Arabidopsis thaliana: one gene and its partners. The protein of the gene in region 1 interacts with the protein of each later gene in a pairwise test. Each region holds a gene or a part of one and is shown in the gene's direction. Other genes may lie near its edges.

Region 1 (3,952 bases):
AAAGCCAAACTATGACAAGAGAAATATCAGTTCATTTGAAATCTTAAAAGGTATAGAAGTGTTGATTAAGGATAACGGACTATCGATGATATCCTCTTCGTATATTTTTTTTAAAAAAACAGCAGAAAATCTTTATCATATATACACTTTTCATTCCGTTACTTAAACGTTAGTAAATAACCAATATCATAACTCATAAGTTCATTAATCATAGGGTATATAAAGCTGTAAATCATATTATGTTGACTTTTTCGTAATATATGCAATTTTTAATAACTAAAATGTTTGAAATCGAAAGATGTCTTTGGAAAACACAAAGTGGTATATATATATAGATATAGATTTGGTTAAAAATGTATGTAATTCTTTAAAAATGACAATGTTTAGAGTTTACTGGATTGTAGAACCTATGGATTTTGTTTAATGGCAAAAACAAAAATGGAAGTAAAGATGTCCATCGACAGATCAAAAACTCATATATATTGTCAAGATGAAATGATATAACGTTCTATAAAAACATTAAGTGAATCCCTGATAATCGGAAGAACGATAAAACAACTTGAAGAGACTGAGTTATCAATGTCCCACAAGTGGTACCAAAATAGTTTATGCATACCAAAACTATTTAATTAATCGAATGTAATTGACCAAAATAGATATCAGACTCAAAAGAATACCAAAACTTCAGTGATAACCAAAAGCAGATAAAAAACGTATATAGTTTATGCATTTGCCAATAGATGAGAGGCATATCCATTGGCACTAAGATCAAAGCCAACATATATATAAAGATAAAAGGAAAAAAGAGAGGAAAAATAACTGAAAATATGAATATCCAAAATATTGTGGAAGCGCCTAGACAAAAGTAGAGCATAACAAGGGAGTATGGGTCCAAAAGTATCACAAAAGATTGCATCCTAAAACAATGTACAAAATCCAACAACGGACCGTTAATGGCACTTTAGGTTTTGTCGGTACCAAAAACAGTAATCTTCTTTTTGTTGACAAAATTAAAAACCTAAAAATCTTCATCTACCTTTCGGTTGATTAACAGTTATATTAACCATAGTTTTGAAAATTGAAACAAGCCAGCCAATTTAGGTTACAATTTTTTGTAAAATGAAATAAAAAGTCAATGGGGGATGGCAAAAAAAGAGGAGGAATAAGCAATTATGGCATGTGAGTAAAACGAAAAAGAGACACAAAACAGACAATCTATTTGTCTTCAACACCGCCACAACCAATCCCCAATGACTTGGTTACTTTTTACACTTTCTTCGCCGTTATCGCATCTCTTTTGACAAGTCAACACTCTTCATACGTCTCACTTTTTTTTTTAATATGAGAAACGCATTTATAGTTTAGTTTCTTTTGTTACACCACCCAAAAAAAAAGTCAAATCTATATATAACGTTCCTCGTTCGTTCTAATAAAAAACTATACAATAATAAATAAATAGCGACAGCTATCCAAAAAGAGTTTTAACAATACTTGTATTTTCCGTGTTTTGACTTTTGTAATTATTCTGAATATTTCCACTATCCCTTTATATTTAAAGACCCAAACTCTTCATCTATCTTCTTGCTAACTTATTCAAACCAATTCACATATCTCCTAAATCTCAACGACTGCACTTTGAAGCTTTTTGTTTAGATTCGTTCGTCGTTTCCATTGATTAAGTCTACTTCTTTTTTTTCATATTTTCGAGCGGGTCAAATGGATCAAGAGATAGAGATTCCTTCCTTCTTCCTTTGTCCAATCTCTCTAGATATCATGAAAGATCCGGTGATAGTTTCCACCGGAATAACCTACGACCGAGAAAGCATCGAGAAGTGGCTCTTTTCCGGTAAGAAAAACTCATGTCCAGTCACCAAACAAGTCATAACCGAAACTGATCTTACCCCAAACCACACTCTTCGCCGTTTGATTCAATCTTGGTGTACCCTCAACGCATCATATGGTATAGAGAGGATCCCAACTCCAAAACCTCCGATCTGTAAATCGGAGATCGAAAAGCTTATCAAAGAGTCGTCATCTTCGCATCTAAACCAAGTCAAATGCCTCAAACGACTTCGTCAAATAGTATCTGAGAATACAACCAACAAACGGTGCTTAGAAGCCGCAGAAGTTCCGGAGTTTTTGGCAAATATCGTAAGCAACTCTGTAGATACGTATAACTCTCCTTCTTCTTCACTTTCTTCTTCGAATCTCAACGACATGTGTCAGTCAAACATGTTGGAGAATCGATTTGATTCTTCAAGAAGCTTGATGGACGAAGCCCTAAGCGTACTCTACCATCTTGACACATCGGAGACAGCCCTCAAGAGTCTTTTAAACAACAAGAAAGGAACAAATCTTGTGAAAACGTTGACGAAGATTATGCAACGTGGGATCTACGAGTCAAGAGCCTATGCGGCTTTGCTTCTCAAGAAGCTCCTGGAAGTTGCGGATCCAATGCAGATCATATTGTTGGAACGAGAACTTTTCGGTGAGGTGATTCAAATCTTGCACGACCAGATCTCTCACAAGGCGACAAGATCAGCAATGCAAATCTTGGTGATCACATGTCCATGGGGAAGGAATAGACACAAGGCAGTGGAAGGTGGAACAATCTCGATGATAATCGAGCTTTTAATGGACGATACTTTCTCATCAGAGAGAAGGAATTCAGAGATGGCGATGGTGGTTCTTGATATGTTATGTCAGTGCGCAGAAGGAAGAGCTGAGTTCTTGAATCACGGTGCCGCTATTGCGGTTGTGTCTAAGAAGATATTGAGGGTCTCACAAATAACTAGTGAAAGGGCAGTTAGGGTTTTGCTTTCGGTTGGGAGGTTCTGCGCGACACCCTCTTTGTTGCAGGAGATGTTGCAATTGGGAGTTGTAGCAAAGCTGTGTCTGGTACTTCAAGTTAGCTGTGGTAACAAGACTAAAGAAAAGGCTAAAGAATTGCTTAAGCTTCACGCTAGGGTTTGGAGGGAATCACCTTGTGTCCCAAGAAATTTGTATGATTCGTATCCTGCTTGAACAACGTACATGTTTGAATAATTCTCATCAGATACAAACAATTCTTTGAGAATTATTCTTCGTATAAGTTCATTTTAAAACAAAAAAGAGTGGTTTAAATTTTGCTCAAACTCTGATTTTCTTTCATTTGTTTTTGTTTTATTATCTTTCAATGTTTATCATTATGTGTAGATAATAGTGGACATATTTTCATGAAATTATGAAAAAACTGCAAAGAAATAAATGGATTCACAGGTTACATGGCTATTTTATCCCACTTGCTTTGTTCGTAATTGTTAGAGGCTCCTTATTTATATTCTTTTTGTCCATTACTCACAATAATAATGGAGAACATCTCTTTCAACTTCTCGTTTTTATTGAGTGGATAACCTAAAGGTTACATCATAGTTCTGCTAAAACCATTACTTTTTACAAATACTTTTAGAGATTTGTATGCGTCATGTGTAACGTTTCTGACCATTTAATTGATGCCAGAATTGTAACATTGCGAATGTAATTATGTATATATATATATATTATGTCGGTACGTTCTACAACTCTAATCCCACTATTGATTTATATATTCCAGTATACATCGACGATATCCACGACGGGCATTCTTTCATTCGAGGATGAGTTTCTGTTTTAAGAAATTCTTAATTAAGATTTGTTTTCTTAATTATTATGTAAACATACCAAAAGTCCTTCATATATATGTGATTTTGTATTCACTTATTGTGATTTTTTAGATCACTCAGTTTAAAATGATTTAGACTAAACGTGGTAAAAACTGTTTACGAAAACTCTTTGCATGCGTTTTAACGATCAATAGACATTTCATTATCGGTAGATCGAAGGCAAAAGATAGATGAATATAGGAATCTAAAGCACGTTATAGCAATATTATATAGCAAGAATCTCTGTATTTATACACCTCGGTTCTAGCAAT
Region 2 (4,213 bases), on another chromosome or scaffold:
CAAAGTTAAGGAATGAGGAAGGAAAATAGAAAATAAGCAGACAATCTACATTTTTTTTTTTTTTTTTTTGTCGTCAATCTACAAACTTCTTTGCATACTTTTCATATATATATATTTTTTTTAAAACGTAATAGTATAGGATGTATATTAAATGATATGAATAGTGGAATGATTCAGTAACCAAAACAATATAGCTAAAGAAAGTGTATTTATTAACATATATAAAAAGTTGGTTTTAGGGTAAGACTAATGCCTCGAATTTACTAGTTGTAACATTTTATTCTTTTTAAAGAGAATATGTGTCTCGAATTTACTAGGCGGGTGTAATTGGTTGTAGAAAAACGTTATTGTTAAAGATGGCTTTGATCAGTGCAAAGTGCAAACAAGTGACGTACGTAAAATAGATGTAAACAATACCAATTAAAACATAAGTAGTTATTTGAAAAGAAAACTCTTAACATAAAGAAGATTATAGACCACTAATTTGTATTTCAAACTATATAATCATTTGTCCTTTGTTATAATCTACTTGTCTAATGTCTAATATGTAATGGAAGAAATGGTCTGTCTTCACTCGAACCGTTTCCAACTGATAGTATTAATTAAATTCAATATCCAATGTACCGATAAATTAACAGAAACATCCATGAAAGTCTTGGTCACAAAAAATATATTTCATGCACTTAAAAGAGATTTGGTGAAGAAATCTCAAAACAGTCTTATTACAATCAAAATTTATCTATCGTATATAATAAATAAACAAAAAAATCGGTGAGATTAGAATATTGAACTGGAAAAGAAAAAAGAAAAACCAAAGTCAAAGGAAACGACAGCTTCCAAGTAAAACACTATTAGAAGATTAAGTGAGACCAAACTCCAACCTTCCTCACATATTTTGGATAAGCTTCGCATCTATATTCCTCCTACTTCCATGTGCCATTCCTTTTTCAATTCATAACACGGCACCGTCTAAATGCTTATCCACACTACAATAAAAAATAGTCATTTTTATTATATACGCGTTTCAAATACTGATAACACGATACAGTACTAATTTAGGGGACACTATATTTGTGAAAACTGCGGACTATACACTTTTCTAGTATCCAAATTTAATTTTGAGCAATAATTTTATCGTAACGTATATTTGTCTTATAATGCTCCTACTTGCAAGTATTATCCTAATTGTTTGACCTTATAGATAGAGCTTTTATAACTTTTGTAGGGAAACATCAAACATGTATTAAAATCTCTAGTGTTGCGAATTTAAGTTTATGCTTTCTTGAGTTTCTTTAATTGCCCGTCATTACGCTACTAAAATTTCACAATTTTGTCCGTTTTATACATAAATATACATAAACAAATACGTGATTTTTCTCTCTTTTTCTATTCAATTCATTATAGAAAATAAATGACGTTTTTCATATTTGCAACTAAAACATTGTTTTCTTTCAGTTTTATGTGGTACATGACACCTGTTATGTTTTACGATTGTTGATATATATTCAAAACACCATGTGCATGATTAGTTGAACTTGTAGCTGTAGATCGACAACTATCAAAATTATTATATATTTGCTTCGATCAAAAACTATCTACAGCTTGTAAATATTGCTCATAAGTGACAACCCATAACGCATGACTGACTTTCAAAAATGTATTTGCAGAAAATTTTATATTCTTATCGATCAACCCCTAAATGTTATACTACATCGCATATATCATCAAATAAAACATTTCTATATATGTATTAACATGTTATGAACATGACTGTGTGTTTTAACTTTAACTTTTATTAAAAGATAATATCTTACCAAAAACGAGAAAATATTCGATATTTCCTTAGAAATCAGATTACTGAACATTCGACTAATCATCAGGCATTTACCTTTCATAGAAAACAGTTCAAAAAGCAATATAAAGCCAAAAAACGAAAAAAAGATTATCCTGAAATTAATCCACAGTACTGGTTTTTTTTTTTTTTAAAAAGGAGACCGCGTTTCTACGCTGACTTTCAAATCAGTCGCGTCGGTATTATTCCACACGCCTTTTTTCTCGTCCCCATCCTCTATCCACATTTCTCTCTATATATACTCTCCTCGTATCCTAAACTCATCCTCAAATTCAAAATTTAACACACAAACACAAACACACACACCAAAAAAAACACAGACCTTAAAAAAATAAAAATGGTTGATATGGATTGGAAGAGGAAGATGGTATCATCAGATTTACCAAACTCACCTAAGCTTTCTTCAAAGCTTCACGTAACTATTCCATCACCGTTCAAAATCGTCCCTGTTTCATCTCCGATCTCATGTTCAGCACCTGCTCTTTGCTCTGCTTACGAGCTTTACCTTCGTCTCCCTGAGCTAAGAAAGCTCTGGTCATCTCGTGATTTTCCTCAATGGACATCAGAGCCGATTCTCAAACCAGCTCTTCAAGCTTTGGAGATCAGTTTCAGATTAGTTTTCGCCGTTTGTTCTGATACTAGACCGTACATCAACCACCGTGAATGGAACCGGAGGCTAGATTCTCTCATCACGAAGCAGATCCAGCTTGTAGCAGCGATCTGCGAAGATGAAGAAGAAGAAGGTATATCAGCGGAGGCTCCGGTCGGCGGTGGACGGAGTTCGTTGAGTTTGTTACCGCAGCTAGCTACGTGGAGGAGATCAGAGGCTTTGGGGAAGAAGATCTTATATACGATCGATAACGAGATGAGTCGGTGTAAGTACACGCTCGGACTCGGTGAACAAAACATCGCCGGAAAACCAAATCTCCGGTACGATGCGATTTGCCGACCAAACGAGATCTATAGCCTCAAGGATAATCCATACGCAGATCATATCGATAATCACGAGAATCAAACTCTCTATATCATTCACCAGATCCTCGAATCGTGGATCTACGCATCTGGAAATCTTCTGAATCGAATCGTCTCAAGTATCGAAGAAGAGAAATTCGGAAAAGCTTCAAACGATGTTTACTTGCTGGAGAAGATCTGGAAAATTTTAGCGGAGATTGAAGATCTTCATATGTTGATGGATCCGGAAGATTTTTTGAAATTGAAGAAACAGTTACAGATCAAATCGACGGGTAAAAACGATGCGTTTTGTTTCAGATCTAAAGGATTAGTGGAGATGATGAAGATGTCGAAAGATCTGAGACAGAAAGTACCGGCGGTCTTGGCGGTTGAGGTAGATCCAACCGGAGGACCAAGATTACAAGAGGCGGCGATGAAGCTTTACGCGAGGAAGACAGAGTGCGATAAGATTCATTTGCTTCAGGGGATGCAAGCGGTGGAAGCGGCGGCGAAGAGTTTCTTCTTTGGGTATAGGCAGTTAGTGGCGGCTATGATGGGAAGTGCGGAGATGAACGCGACGGCGAGTCAAGAGTCGTGTGACTCACTGAGTCAGATATTTATGGAGCCGACGTATTTCCCGAGCCTTGACGCGGCAAAGACGTTTCTGGGAGAGTTTTGGAGTCATTTGGGATGATTAAATTTTAATTTCTGCTGGTATAATTATTTAATATAAATTTAAATTGGTGGTTTGGTTTAATTTAGTTTGTAAGATAGTGAAATTTTTGGAACATTTGACGATCCATATTTGAATACAAATTCATTTTTATATGATTTATGAGATTTTTTAACAAACGATAACATTTACGAATATCGTAATCCATACTTTGAATTATCCACAAGTCGTAATTCAAATATGGGTGGTCTACTAACGAGTAACGACTAATCTATATGCTCTGACTAATCGTCAACAAATCACCACCTATCCTTCGTAGATGTTAGTGTATGAGAAAAACACAATTTCACACCTATCCTTTGTAGATGTTAAATTATGAGAAAAACACAATTTCACTTTCACAGTGTATAATATTCAAAATTCAATGATAAACACACACACAAAAACGTTATAAAAAACCCAAACCGACGATGAGTAACCAAACCGATGTATAAAACGACATTGCCTTTCTCTGTTTTTTGTGTTCAACAAATTTCATTAAGAGAAAGAAGGGAAGTGTTTGAATGAGTATTCATTCATTAGTCCAAGAAAAACATTTAATGGGCCTGTTTGTAGGCCCACTGGCACATAACCTATCTTCTGTATCATTGATGCCTTCTCCTACCTTCCTCTGACGCTCACATCGGAAACCCTAAATCTCCACTCTCTCGCGCCTTTTACCCCTTCTCAGAATCTTA
Region 3 (6,096 bases), on another chromosome or scaffold:
GCAGGAGCTAATACAAATTCATATACAATGGACTGACATTCAAAACAATGAATCTTTAAGATAGAGCAACAAGAATCTTACAGAAGGAGAGTGTGGGTGATGGTGAGAGAACTCATTGCGGTTGTTGTTGTCACTGTGAACCGTAGTTAGCTTCTTAGGCTTGGCAGTATCAACAGGAGGCTGATCATGAAAAGGGTTAATGAGTTCTTCCTCGTTGCCAAGACTGGCTCGAGAAGCATCTCTCTTGTTGAGTTTCCTCATCTCTCTGATCTTTGAGAAATCCATTGAGTAATCAATTGATCCTCCTTTTTGATCCCAATCTCCAAACTGTGGTACTGATAGCCATGGCGAGTTCTTGTTCTGCCAAATAAATCTCCATTTCAATTACTTTTATTTTCAAGAACCATTAGAAAGAAAAAAACACAATCCTAAAAATCAATCACACAAAAAAAGACTTTTTCACCAAGATTCAGAGACTAATTTCTCACATCAAAATCGAATATTAATGCAAGAAGTTGACATGAACATCCCATTTTATTTAATGTATCACTTTAACTTTAATATTATGTAAGGAGAAAACACAGAAGACGAAGGGATTAGACCAGAAAATAAAAAATAAAAACCTCTTTTCGATCTTCCATGTGATCAAAGCTTCTGTAGCTAGCAGTGAATCCTGTTTTTTTTTTTTATAATAAGTTAAAGATGATCTTAGGAGGAAGATGGGTGATACAGAGCAATTTATAAGCGAAAGAAAAAGTATACCAAAATTTAATACAGCAAAGTAACAGGTCGATTGGTGGTGATACAACTATACTGTACACAACATATCAAAAATATTTTTGTTTTATTTTGTTTTTTTCTGCTTCGGGAAAAGGTTAGCTTTTGTGCATTAATTACGATACTGCCATTCGTTCGGACACGCACACACGCTTAATCCGCGTCAGCTTTGCTCTCATTTCCTGTTAAATGACGTCGTTTAGTATACTGTCGATTAATGGTCTAACCTTTAAGTTATGATATTAAAACATAAGTTTATTGGTGAAGATTTGAAGGCCGGCAACTGATTTTATTAAATTTATAGTGATATGTTTTTCCAATAGCTTAAGCAAAATTTGTTTGGAGTTGATTAGTTCATTTTCATTTATCTTTTTTGTTCCTAGAGCGGTTAGTGAACACTGAATGAATACACACACTGACTCCACTAAGAACCCAAAAAAAAAAACTCACATCATTTTGTGTATTTTGTTAGATAAAATCAAACCTAGCCGACGTTAGTGAATCTGTATCCACTTAAATATCATCTACAGCAACAAAAAAGTCCACAATAAGATATAAATAAGTACGACTTTGCTTCGTCAACTGTATGACTGCTATTAACAATCCCGAACTATTTAGTCATGGAGGCGATTAACATAAATTCATGTTTAATGATGCGAGCCGTTACATGATATATATACATGTTGATTCTTAATTTTCATTTCCAATTTCACTATTTCAGTCATATTTGAGAAAAAAGATGTGTGCTCGTACGTTTTAAGTTCCATGAACAGCCAATTTAAAATTAACGGGTGAATAAGTTGACGCATATTCATTTAAAATTGTAATTACGAATTCAACTTACTAAAACCATATACATAACGACCAAAAACTTAATAAAACTATAAATTTAAAAAGAAATCAAGTTGCGTGACGATGTGGCGTGAAGAGATCCACAGAGAAACTGACGTGGTTGATGATATAGTTAGACACGTGGCAGAGTATGAGAAGTGTCTGTTTTTCAAAGGAGCTATGTGAACCACAAAAGAGGTAACTTCACCGGATTTGTTATCTCTTCAAGACTTCTACCCTCTCTTCTCCTTCTTCCTCACCACAAAATTAGATTCTTTCGTTTGTTTTTTGTGTGTGTTATATTTGTCTTTATTTCATATCCATTTATTGACTTTGTAAGAACATTGCATTGCATGTGGCAGAGAACTCAAAGTTAGTAAAAATGAATACTCCGATTTGTATCACTTCTTTCCTTTGGCATTATATCAAAATATGGTCTTCAAAAACTAGAATTATACAATCGTAGAATGCATTTACTTGTCATTCATAGAAAGTTGCAATACAACTACCATTAGTACTTACAAACATTGCAACCAAATACATTTTTTATTGTAAAATAGTACTCCATACATATTTCATGCTCCATACATATTTCGATTTTTCACTATTTTCATTCCAATTTTTTGTGATAACTGAAGATAATTTTATTGGGTTTTTCTTTTTTGGTCGTCAATAATATTAATTTATTTTCTAAGTATTGATTTTATTTATTGATAATTGATAATGATATATTTTCGAATATAGAGAAAAAAATACAAACTAATAAAAAAATCAAATAAAATCTGGTGGCTCACGCTCAAAACGATAGAGAGAAACTCTTATCAAAGCTTTTGATTTCTCTCTCGAGGGTTTCTTACTCTGCTGCTTCTTCTTCTTCTTCAGTAGAGCGAGATTCTCTCGCGCTCTCTATCGCTACATATAACCATGGGTTTATCAACGAATCTCCATAGCCTCGACCTCCGTTCAACTTTCTTCACCGGTCTACGTACATCTCCAATCCCTTCCAATTTCATCAAAATCTCTTCCATTTCCAACCCTAGACGCGATATCTCCACCATCAGAGCCCAAGTCTCCACCATCAGCCTCGAGACCTCCGTTAAACAGCGTCAAGACGAAATCGAATCTCTTTTCTCGAAGCAACCCTCTCAGCAAGACTCCGATCGGAAACGAAACGGGAAGAGTTCCAAAAACGGAGCTTCTGGGATATCTTCAGGTGTGAAGCTAGAGAACATAAGGAAAAGCTACAAAGGCGTGACTGTGCTTAAAGATGTGACATGGGAAGTGAAGAGAGGTGAGAAAGTAGGGTTAGTTGGTGTGAACGGAGCTGGGAAGACGACTCAGCTCAGGATTATCACTGGTCAAGAAGAGCCTGATTCTGGTAACGTAATCAAGGCCAAACCCAATATGAAAGTAGCTTTCTTGAGCCAGGAATTTGAGGTTTCGATGAGTAAGACTGTGAGGGAAGAGTTCATGACTGCTTTCAAGGAAGAGATGGAGATTACTGAGAAGCTTGAGAAAGTTCAGAAGGCTATTGAGGGATCTGTTGATGATTTGGATCTTATGGGAAGGTTATTAGATGAATTTGATTTGTTGCAGAGACGAGCTCAGGCTGTGAATTTAGATTCCGTTGATGCTAAGATTAGTAAGTTGATGCCGGAATTAGGGTTTGCTCCTGAGGATGCTGATAGGCTTGTGGCTTCGTTTAGTGGTGGATGGCAAATGAGAATGTCACTTGGAAAGATTTTGCTTCAGGTATATGAATGATTGTTTACTTAAAGTTTTATCCTTTCAATGAGTTTGAACTCAAAGCTAATGTGAATGAATTGTGTGTTTCTTTGCGAGTAGGATCCAGATTTGCTGCTACTTGATGAGCCGACAAATCATTTGGATCTTGATACTATTGAGTGGCTTGAAGGTTATTTGCAAAAGCAAGATGTGCCTATGGTTATTATTTCACATGACAGAGCCTTTCTTGATCAGTTATGTACTAAAATTGTGGAAACTGAGATGGGTGTGTCCAGGACATTTGAGGGTAATTATTCTCAGTATGTGATCTCAAAGGCTGAGTGGATCGAAACTCAGAATGCAGCGTGGGAAAAGCAACAGAAAGATATCGACTCAACTAAGGACTTGATCGCCAGGCTTGGTGCTGGTGCCAATTCTGGTCGTGCTTCCACTGCAGAAAAGGTTTGCAAACAAAAAGAATATGCTAATTTGCTGAACTATTGTGGTGATTGCTAGGGCGTGACATTAATGGAAAAAAATTTCTACTGTTTCCTAAGCCAATATTCTGGCTTGCTCTTTTATCTGTGAACCGTCTGGAGACGTTGAAGCTTATGTTTCCTCTTGTATTGTTTGTAACAGAAACTAGAGAAGCTTCAAGAACAGGAGCTAATAGAGAAGCCATTTCAGCGGAAGCAGATGAAGATTAGGTTTCCAGAGCGTGGGACAAGTGGAAGATCGGTAGTCAATGTTAAAAACATTGATTTTGGTTTCGAGGATAAGGTGAGTTACTAGAGTATAACTCATGACAATAGTATAAATCCTTAATCGCTCACGTTTGACCCTGTGAAAAATGTGTATTGTTGAAAAAGCAGATGCTATTTAAGAAGGCTAATCTATCAATAGAAAGAGGGGAGAAAATCGCCATCCTTGGGCCAAACGGTTGTGGGAAAAGTACGTTATTGAAGCTAATTATGGGTTTAGAGAAGCCTGTGAAAGGTGAAGTTATTCTTGGAGAGCACAATGTACTGCCAAACTACTTTGAACAGAATCAGGTCAGTTTTCACTTACTCAATCAATTCAAGAGCTAAACAATTGGAGACAGGTTTGCTCACTTTATTGACATAATTTGGTTTCAACCCTTTGGTTATTCTTTCGCTAGGCTGAGGTCCTTGATTTGGATAAAACAGTGCTTGAAACTGTTTGTGAAGCTGCAGAAGACTGGAGAAGTGATGATATAAAAGGTCTTCTTGGACGCTGCAACTTCAAAGCAGACATGCTTGATCGAAAGGTCTCTCTTTTAAGTGGTGGGGAGAAAGCGCGTCTTGCTTTCTGCAAATTCATGGTGACGCCATCTACTTTACTCGTTTTGGACGAACCAACCAATCACTTAGACATTCCTTCAAAAGAAATGCTCGAGGTTAGTAGTAGGCATCTCTAATTTGTTGAGAATCTTTGGATACAATGATAATAACTCTGTTCCTGGACCTGGAGATAGGCTAATTCTCTTTTTCAATTGAATCAGGAAGCGATAAACGAGTACCAAGGTACAGTCATTGCGGTATCCCACGATCGATACTTCATCAAACAAATCGTTAACAGAGTGATAGAAGTAGAAGATGGTTGTTTAGAAGATTATGCAGGCGACTACAATGTACACTTCGGATTGCACTCTTTCTACATTTTTTCCAGTATAATATGATCTCTGTATTAACTTTTGGAATGTGTGAATGTCTCAGTATTACTTGGAGAAGAATCTGGATGCTAGAACAAAGGAGCTAGAGAGAGAAGCAGAGCTAGAAGAGAAAGCACCAAAAGTGAAGGCAAAGTCAAAGATGTCAAAAGCAGAGAAAGAAGCGAGGAAGAAGCAGAAGATGCAAGCATTTCAACAAGCTAAACAGAAGTCAAAGGCTAGCAAGAACTCCAAGAGATGGAACTGAACAAACATTGAAAACTGAAAGGAGTCAAGATTTATAAAAAAGGCTTCTTCACAGTCTCACAAAATCGTCATTGTGGAATGTATATAGATATTACTTTTAGAAATGCAGAGAGAGTATTAATGTTTCTACAACACTTGAGCCCCATTGGGTAAAAATTAAGAAACTTTATTCTCAAACATGGAACCGAACCGAACCAAACCATTGAATTTCAGTGCAAAACCTAATATTGGCTCAAATATTCGTCCAACTCAATTAAACCATTTACTTCGATTGGAAACCGGGAAAACCGGTTAGGGCTTTATCTCAAAGCACTAACCGGGGTCTACTCTTCTCTTCTCTTCATCATCATCAACATCGCATTCGATACAACGAAAGTTTCGAAACCTTGTAGGAGCTATTTTCACCAAAGAGCTCTGTTCTACTTTGATCGGGAAACTGTAACAATGGTCGGAATTCTTCTGGGGTTGCCTGGGAAGTGGGCAGAAGATGAGCTTGAGCCTTCTGATCACTACACAACCAAAATCGGTGGTCTTCCGGTAATAACTCCTTCCTAGCTCTCTCTGTTCCTTCCTTTCATAGAAAGCTCAATTCTTTCGTTCTGATTTTTGATCAAAGTGCGTTTTTAGGATTGGCCGCCAATACCCGATGATGCACTGAAACCAGAACTACTCAATTGTTGTTCATGTGGAAGTAAACTTTCTCTCGTAGCTCAGGTTTTTGTTCAAATCCAAAGCTTCACTCTTTTTAGGTTTCAAGAGTTTAAGAAGCTGAATAATTAGAACAATTTGGTCTCTTTCGTTCTCTGCATTTAGGTGTATGCCCCAAT
Region 4 (8,111 bases), on another chromosome or scaffold:
AAACCAAGAAAGGAACGTTATCCTTTTAATTAGTTTTTACTTTCTTAGTTTTCATACTCTTATCTAATTCACAACGAATGCTGTTGTTGGTTGTGCAAAAAGGAAACTTTAAATCTTATCTAATTTCCCATGAAAAATCACTAACTCATTCAGTTCTTTTTTTTTTGGTTTAACATTTAGTTATATGACAATGTATGTGAAACATATAAACCTTTTAATTGATTCCTCAAAGTTATATGAGTTGTTCGATTACTAAGAAAAATAATATATATAATGTCCGTTACTTTGTTTTTCTTTGTAGACTATAGCTTTCATCCAAAGCCTGATGATCAGAGCAGCAACACCAATATCAGTTATGGGATCTCCATAACACAGTTTCCTCAAAACCATATGGATTTCGTAGTGAAAGATAATATACAGGTTTTAATTGCATTGGTCGAATCCTTGATGTTTTTTTTTAACCCATATTGTGTACGGGTTTATGATATCTAAAGTCAGCAAGACACCAATAGCTTGTATAGGTTAGTCAATAACTCCTAGGGGAAACACCATATTTAATGGCCGTTTCAGTTAATTTAGATATCTTCTTTCTTTTTTTGAGTTCAAAGTTAGTTTAGTTGTCTAAAGCAACAAAATAGCTCCAATATTTGTATCATTAAATTTATTTATATACATCATAATTATTTTTGTATATATAGACATAATTGAAACATGTTTTATTATAATCTATATATACATTTTTGCAGCCATTTTGTGAAATAAATCCTTTAGTTGTGACTTATTTACAATGGCTGCCACTGGATTTTAATGTTTGTTTTTGATAATTAAAAAGAAAATATTCGAATTAAATATTTGACATTTAACAATCTTCCCAAAATATCTCCACATTAACTACACGATTATTTACTAAAATAATACTTCCAAAATATTTAATATCATTTAATTACTACAAAATTATCATTTTTGATATTGATTTTCTCCATAACTATAACAATTCGATTATAATCATCAAAGCGCAGAGATATAATCTGATAGCATTTAATTACTACAAAATTACAAAATATTTAGACAATGATTCATAAACATATCATAAATAAGATCAACATTAATAAAATAAATAGTTTTTTTTTTACAGGACGGGTTTGACAGGACGATACTTAATAACATTTGTAAACTATAAAATAAAATTATTTTATAGATAGATACAATTTGTAAACTTTTATATATACTAACTTTAAAAAATAAATTGTTCCCGCGGTATACCACAGGTTAAAATCTAGTTGTTTTTGTATTTTAACTAATAATGTGGACTAAACTTTAGGTGGAATACCTTTAGTTAACGGATCCGCTTTCATGAAATTTCTACCTATATGCTTAACTGAAACCACATCATCTTGAATCCTTTCTCACACAATATGACACTCTATGTCTATATGCTTTGATTGTTCTACTTTTGTTGTTGTTTGCATATACACTGCCGCAAAATTGTCAGACTAAACTTTAAATGATCTTTCGACACATAACCAACATGTAGTGTTTTTCACAGACTGTTCAAACCTAATGAATATAGTGTTTTCCCTAACCTAATGGCCGGTGTATTCTACAATTTTGAAAGATTTGCCTGAGTGACAATAAAAAAATCTCAAGCTTGTTTCTATCTCTAATCTCTTATACTGCAAATGTTAGAACGAATACTTTGGCACGAAAAATTCGTACTGAATCGCTTCATATATGTAAACAATTTTTTCTAAAGTTGACTCATTTGAACATTAATATAATTTGATGACAAAAAATAATAAAATAATAACCATTATTAACGACAACAATAACATAGATTCGTTTCAGTTATATGTAAACCATAATCTTCATGATTAATCCAGTTATGTGTAAACTTAAATACTTAAATATTAGAAATCAAAATTACATAATAAAACAGAAAAAGAAGCACATGTTTAAAATTTATTTTAGATATGGTTAAAAAGGCCAGGCCCAGCTTTATATTATTAATAGAAGAGTCCACATTTAGAGCGGAGACTAGGCCTATATTCGCGGAAGCGTCAATTCAGGTTTTCAAAACGTCGTCGTTGTATCTTCCTCCTCTAGATTCTTCTTTTTCTTTTCAATTTCACCAAAATCCCGAGTTCCCGACACAATCGCCCTTGTTCTTCCCCTTTAACTCTGAACACATCAGGTTTGGTTTCGTGTTTCAACTTTGAGATACTTCTCTAGATTTCAATCGGAGAGTCTTTTGTTCCGCCAAAGTTTCAATTTTTCAATACCCCACGACGGCAAATAGGTTCGTTCTTCGTTGCCTTCATGGAATTTGATTGTTTTTTTCTTAAATCTTGATCCTTTTTTTCCGTATCTATAGGCTCTGTTTTTGCCTTAGCAGATTTGTTTTTGGGTTTGGACGGTGAAAGTTTTGATTTTTGAACAGTGATATTACAATGACTTGCATTTATTTGGGTCTGGGTCTTTTGTTTGTGGCTTTGGATGGTGAAAGTTTTTGATTTTTAGCATTTTTATTACAATGACTTGCATATATATAGGATTTGGTCTTTTGTTACAATGACTAGCATTTAGTTATGTCATTTGTTTGTGTCTCATTGTTGATTCTGTTTTGTATGATCAATATCTGGAAATGTGTGTGGTAAAGGTTTTGATTTGAGTACCCTAGAGATAATATTGTTTATTATGAGATCATTCTTTTGTAAGATGAATTTACAAGCTTTATGTTTTTTAAATTTTAATACTTTAGGGTTCATGGAAGATCAACCCATTAACCAGTGCTCTAGTAGCACCAATGCGTCGGAGAAAACTCCAGAATCAACCCTTGAGCTTAACATCAAAACGTTAGACTCGCGGACGTATACTTTCCAAGTGAACAAGAATGTAAGAAATCTTCTTCTTCTTCTGCTTCACCTGCATATTTGCTTAAGTTTAGTTTGCTTATATCTGATACTGCTTAGGGCTTGACTTGTTGCAGGAAACTGTTTTGCTATTCAAGGAGAAGATTGCTAGTGAGACAGGGGTGCCGGTTGGTCAGCAGCGGCTCATTTTCCGAGGACGGGTTTTGAAAGATGATCATCCTCTCTCGGAGTATCGTATCCTAGTGCTAGCGACTTTGTTAACTTGTTGATTTTATGTTATAGTGTAGCTGTTTGTTGCATTATGCCATGTGCCCTGTGTATAAAATGCATGTTAACCAAATCTGTCGGAAGTCTAGTTTTTGATTGATCAAGTGCATCTCTGCTTTTGTGAGTCTTACACCGTAGAGGAAGCTGTAATCCAGAAAGAGAACTATATATATATATATACCTTCGATAAGCTTAGTTTTAGTTTATGTCTGTCGTTTCCTTCCATCGCTTTTCTACTTTCAGTATAGTTGATAACTTGACATCGTCATAGATTTGGAAAATGGGCATACTTTACACTTGATTGTGAGGCAGCCAGCAGAATCAGCTCCTTCCTCTGGTACACCTTCACAAGGGGCAACTGCAAATGATGGTAATCAAGTTATTTTTTATCCCCTTTCTGAGTTTTAAAAGAGCTGTTAACACAACCATCATCTTATTTCAACTTGTTATTTAATTCAACAGGAAATAATACAAATGGTGGACCATCTCGAAATGGAAGACATGTCTCCCACAGCGTAGTTCTTGGGTCTTTTAATGTTGGAGATCAGACAGAAGGCATTGTTCCAGACCTCAGCCGGGTAATCCCCAAGGATTTGTGATATTGTTTGGCCTATGGGATGGTTTGATTAGTTAGGCTAACCTGCTTTTAATTTTGTGTTGCTAACTACTAAGGTCATTGGAGCAGTTCTAAATTCTTTTGGAGTTAGTGGACAGCTTCCTACAAATCACAGTACTAATGGCACGCAATCCTCTATGCCCGTGAGTTTTTTTCTCGTCACTCTCTATTTCGAATTTATTCCATATTAGTGCTTAGTCTACATTAAGGATTGTTGAGAATCAGGTGTTGTTACTATTTGATGTGTAAGGTTTCATATTGTCATCAACTATTGCCTGTTTCTAAACTCGATGTTGCATGCGCTTTTATTTTTCCTAGTCGAATCAGTCGTCTAATGCACCTCCTGGAAATACATCTGATGGAGAGCCTGGCATTGGTGGTCAAAGCCAAGCTACGGGTCATTCACAACCTAGGCAAGCATTTCCTGGTGTATCATTTCAAACATCGATGCCTCGTGTAGTTCAGATTCCTGTTACAGCAGCCACAACGATTCCTATCCCTTCATTCTTAACGGTAGTTCTTAGTCACGTAGTAGTATTTTGATCTTGAGACTAGAGCTTTAATCTTGTCATTTTACAATGTAACTCTCTAATTCTGCAGCCTATTCCGGATTCCTTAGACACTCTAATGGAGTTCATTAATCGGATGGAGCAGGCATTATCACAAAATGGTATTGTGATCTAAGTTTTATTGTCATATTGGATAGAGAACACATAAATAAGTTAATTGGATGTTCCTCCAGGCTATCAGCCAGATACCTCTTCTGCTGGATCCGGAGGGCGACCAAGGGAAGAGTTGCCTAGAAATAGACGAGGTGCAGCAACACCTGAAGCACTCTCTGTTGTCCTAAGGAATGCACAACATTTACTGAGTGGTCTCGGTGTCTCTTCTTTATCGGTAAACACCTTCTTCACACTGCTTATTAATTGATTCCATTCTTTCTCTTTACAAGAACTGTTATGTATATGGTTACCATGCATTGTCATCTAATTATGTGCTGTTTGTAATTTGCAAAAACATTGTTGTAGCATATTGCGGGACGTCTGGAGCAAGATGGTTCATCTTCAGATCCTACTCTAAGGTCACAAATCCAGACAGAGGCCGTGCAAGTAGGTCTTGCCATGCAACATTTAGGGGCCCTCCTACTGGAGCTTGGACGCACAATTTTGACATTGAGAATGGCACCGTCGCCGGTGCGTTTTGGGTCATTCCTTTCGTGCATTTTCCTATTCATTCTTGACATGCGGCTCATTAACACTTTGATCTACAGGAATTATCCTATGTGAATGCAGGGCCTGCTGTGTATATATCTCCATCAGGACCGAATCCTATTATGGTTCAGGTAAGCTTCTAGTCTCATCTTTTTTCTAAATTAATTTTCTACTTTTATGTAATTATTACTGTATTTTGCAGCCTTTTCCTCACCAAATCAGCCCTCTCTTTACTGGTGCTACTGTCTCATCAAATCCACTAACCGGACCTGTTGGTTTAGGAACTGCCCAAAGGCACATTAATATTCACATACATGCTGGTGGGTGAAGTTCACTTTTTTGCTATTGGACTTAGCTGCACAATTCTTCTCCATTAAAATTCATACTTAATTACCAGGCACATCAGGTTCACCTATGTTGTCATCAGTTGGGAACCAGCGAAGCAATGGAGAAGGAGGACAAGGAGACCGTGACAGCAATACAAGTTCAGTTCCTGCGGCTGTTCCATCACACTCTACCGGTGAGAACGTTTCTGCTGGGGTTCAACCTGGTTTGGGTGATGATGTTTCAGTTGCTCAAATCAATGCAAGGATAAGAGATATGGTAAACATTATGCAAGGAAGAGACCAGATTCCATCGGGTAGGTTTCCTGCTGACTAAAGTTTTACATTGTGGACGAAATGTTTTCAAGCTCTTCTTCACGTGTCAATCAGGAATAGAATCTCTCGAGAGGGATATGTCTACGGGCCATGGTGTTGCCACTGCTATGCCTGAGCAGCCTACCAACATTGCAACTACTTGCGCACCTGAGTCGTCTAGTGGCTCACTGCATGACTTACCATCTGAGAGGAGCAACTCAGTGGTATGTCTTCTCTGCAATCAGATGATTCTTTATTTTATGTTCACCAGGGTTAGCCTACCACTAATTTTTGTTTTTTCAACCAGTGTCAAAATGAAAAAGATCTTGGTGGAGATTTAGAGCATCCAGCCCGAGCAAAAGATACCTCTTGTACTACAGGACAATCATCAGCTCCGTCTGGAGATGCTACCGGTGATGCCAAAGAAACCAATAAGGCTACTCCAGAGGTAGCTACAGCTACACCACTTGGATTGGGGCTTGGCGGTTTAGACCGTAAGGTAATGAATCAGTTGAAAAATAAGCGTCAAGTTGCTGCTGCTTGTTTTTCATTGCATAGCATATCCACAAGTGTCATAGTTCCAAATGCTTACAGTCATAGTATGTTTTTTTTGGTTAAAGAAACGAAGCAAGCAGCCGAAGGTATCAGGTAAGACTGAAGATAGCGGGACTTCAGCTACACTTGAAGGTGTGCAACAAAGCAGTGGGACCAGTGGTCAGCAGCTTTTGCAATCTCTCTTTTCTGGTAGTTCTCGTTCAGATGAGACTGGTCTTAGACGCGGGCAAGGTTCAGATGATCGTGTAGATGTCTCAAGTGCAATGTCTCAGGTCCTGGAGAGCCCTGTATTGGATGGATTGCTAGCAGGGGTATCTCGACAAGCTGGTGTTGATTCACCAAATATGCTGAGAAATATGCTCCAGCAGTTTACCCAGAATCCACAGATCATGAACACAGTCCAACAGATTGCGCAACAGGTGGATGGGCAAGAGATAGAAAATATGATGTCAGGTGGAGCTCAAGGCGAGGGCGGCGGCTTTGATTTCTCTAGAATGGTCCAACAAATGATGCCTCTAGTCTCACGTGCTTTTAGCCAAGGAGGGCCATTGCCTCATCCCGCAACAATACAGCCTGATGATCGTCAACCTTCTCAGGTACATCTACGAGTGTTAGGTTTGGATTTCTTGCGTTTTTGATTTAGGAAAAAAATGTGGCTGAAGAAAAACTGATACTATTATCGACTGAGTAGGATTTTGTTGTTGTCTTTTTTTAGTTGTAGAAAAAGTAACACCATTCTTACCTAGGTATTACAATAAACGTCATTGTCTCTTGTTCTATCTCGTGTAATGAATGTTATTTTTCTACTTTTTCCAAATAGGTAAATGTTCAATCCATGGCTCAAATGATTGAGCACTCTGATCCACCAGAGGATGTCTTCCGTGCAATGGTCGAAAATGCTGCGATAAGCCAAGACGAACTAGTGAACGAGCTTTGCTGTGATGAAGCTCTTTCTCAAGTAAGCATCAAAACTGACTAGTTTGTTTGTTTAATAAAAATAAAGACTCCTTGATCAGACTTGTATTTGAGTGTTGCAGGAATATGCGGAGTTGCTAAGACGTGATATCGAAGGCCGGCTAAAAGATGATCAAGGTCTATAAGATATTTGGTTGAATTGGTTCTGTAAGTGTCATATCTTTGAAGTATCTTTGTTTATTTGCTGAGATCCCTCACTTATGTATTAAGAATTAGGGTTTGGGATGGTCTATACTCTGCTAAACATAAGCAAACGTAATTTATCTGGTCTCTAAAGGGCCGATTCAATTTGATATTTCCATCTTTAACCAGAGATTACTCATAACTCTCGACATTGACCAAATTACTTGGGAAAAAGGTGTCCCTTTATAACTGACAATTTTGGTTTTGATCGAAAATTTGGCTAAAGGGCTACACTAACGAGTGACTGTAGCAAATTATATATTTAGTTTAATTCCTTAACAAATAGGTAATAAAGATTGCACAATAAATATGGAATGTAAACTAATAAATAGTAGAATAATTCAGAAAAATGAACTGTCACGACAACCCCAATAATAAGATGTTATATATTATTTAATTTTTATAAAAAATTATATATTATAAAATTTACTATGAATTTTTAATATGTTTAAAATTACAAAGTTGTTGTGTTTGTTTTGTTGTACAAATTTATAATTTTGGATTATGACAAATTAATAATATTGTTTTATTTTATATTTAATTTCTAAAAGATTATTAAAATTTGTTTTATGGTTTTACGTATTCAAGGGTTGTGAACAATTGATCACCACCGGAAAAATTAAGGATGACGACAAAATTGAACTAAAACATCATGGGTTCAGAGATTTTCAAGATCAGCGAGCCATGACTTAGCGACATCGGAGATCATGAACATTCCTAAGACAAGCTGTCTTTTGTGATGAGTTTTGCAAATAATTGTTTCATCGCTAATTTTTCTTACTTATGACTTTTCTAG

Evidence for each region.
Region 2: the proteins of PUB22 (region 1) and HSPRO2 interact in a two-hybrid assay, tested with the Arabidopsis thaliana proteins (one study listed by BioGRID).
Region 3: the proteins of PUB22 (region 1) and ABCF5 interact in a two-hybrid assay, tested with the Arabidopsis thaliana proteins (one study listed by BioGRID).
Region 4: the proteins of PUB22 (region 1) and AT5G42220 interact in a two-hybrid assay, tested with the Arabidopsis thaliana proteins (one study listed by BioGRID).

What each region holds. Positions count from the first base shown.
Region 1 is NC_003074.8:19,440,015-19,443,966, reverse strand, and holds PUB22 (plant U-box 22), read left to right. Parts: upstream 1-1,539; 5' UTR 1,540-1,716; coding exon 1,717-3,024; 3' UTR 3,025-3,350; downstream 3,351-3,952. UniProt on the Arabidopsis thaliana protein: E3 ubiquitin-protein ligase that negatively regulates water stress response. May control in coordination with PUB23 a drought signaling pathway by ubiquitinating cytosolic RPN12a.
Region 2 is NC_003071.7:16,699,933-16,704,145, reverse strand, and holds HSPRO2 (ortholog of sugar beet HS1 PRO-1 2), read left to right. Parts: upstream 1-1,809; 5' UTR 1,810-2,189; coding exon 2,190-3,497; 3' UTR 3,498-3,656; downstream 3,657-4,213. UniProt on the Arabidopsis thaliana protein: Positive regulator of basal resistance.
Region 3 is NC_003076.8:25,916,130-25,922,225, reverse strand, and holds ABCF5 (general control non-repressible 5), read left to right. Parts: upstream 1-1,971; 5' UTR 1,972-2,532; coding exon 2,533-3,360; intron 3,361-3,453; coding exon 3,454-3,795; intron 3,796-3,972; coding exon 3,973-4,113; intron 4,114-4,205; coding exon 4,206-4,385; intron 4,386-4,492; coding exon 4,493-4,750; intron 4,751-4,855; coding exon 4,856-4,984; intron 4,985-5,069; coding exon 5,070-5,270; 3' UTR 5,271-5,504; downstream 5,505-6,096. Other genes in the region: AT5G64850 (sorbin/SH3 domain protein), read right to left, coding at 82-360, 624-641; AT5G64830 (programmed cell death 2 C-terminal domain-containing protein), read left to right, coding at 5,714-5,806, 5,897-5,983, 6,083-6,096.
Region 4 is NC_003076.8:16,870,199-16,878,309, forward strand, and holds the start of AT5G42220 (Ubiquitin-like superfamily protein), read left to right. Parts: upstream 1-2,039; 5' UTR 2,040-2,296; intron 2,297-2,758; 5' UTR 2,759-2,763; coding exon 2,764-2,892; intron 2,893-2,986; coding exon 2,987-3,104; intron 3,105-3,408; coding exon 3,409-3,507; intron 3,508-3,599; coding exon 3,600-3,715; intron 3,716-3,809; coding exon 3,810-3,896; intron 3,897-4,071; coding exon 4,072-4,266; intron 4,267-4,353; coding exon 4,354-4,423; intron 4,424-4,495; coding exon 4,496-4,650; intron 4,651-4,781; coding exon 4,782-4,946; intron 4,947-5,023; coding exon 5,024-5,095; intron 5,096-5,166; coding exon 5,167-5,284; intron 5,285-5,361; coding exon 5,362-5,604; intron 5,605-5,677; coding exon 5,678-5,826; intron 5,827-5,909; coding exon 5,910-6,101; intron 6,102-6,222; coding exon 6,223-6,753; intron 6,754-6,977; coding exon 6,978-7,115; intron 7,116-7,194; coding exon 7,195-7,257; 3' UTR 7,258-7,279; exon of another isoform or gene 7,280-7,534; intron 7,535-7,903; and 1 more. Other genes in the region: AT5G42210 (Major facilitator superfamily protein), read left to right, coding at 302-370.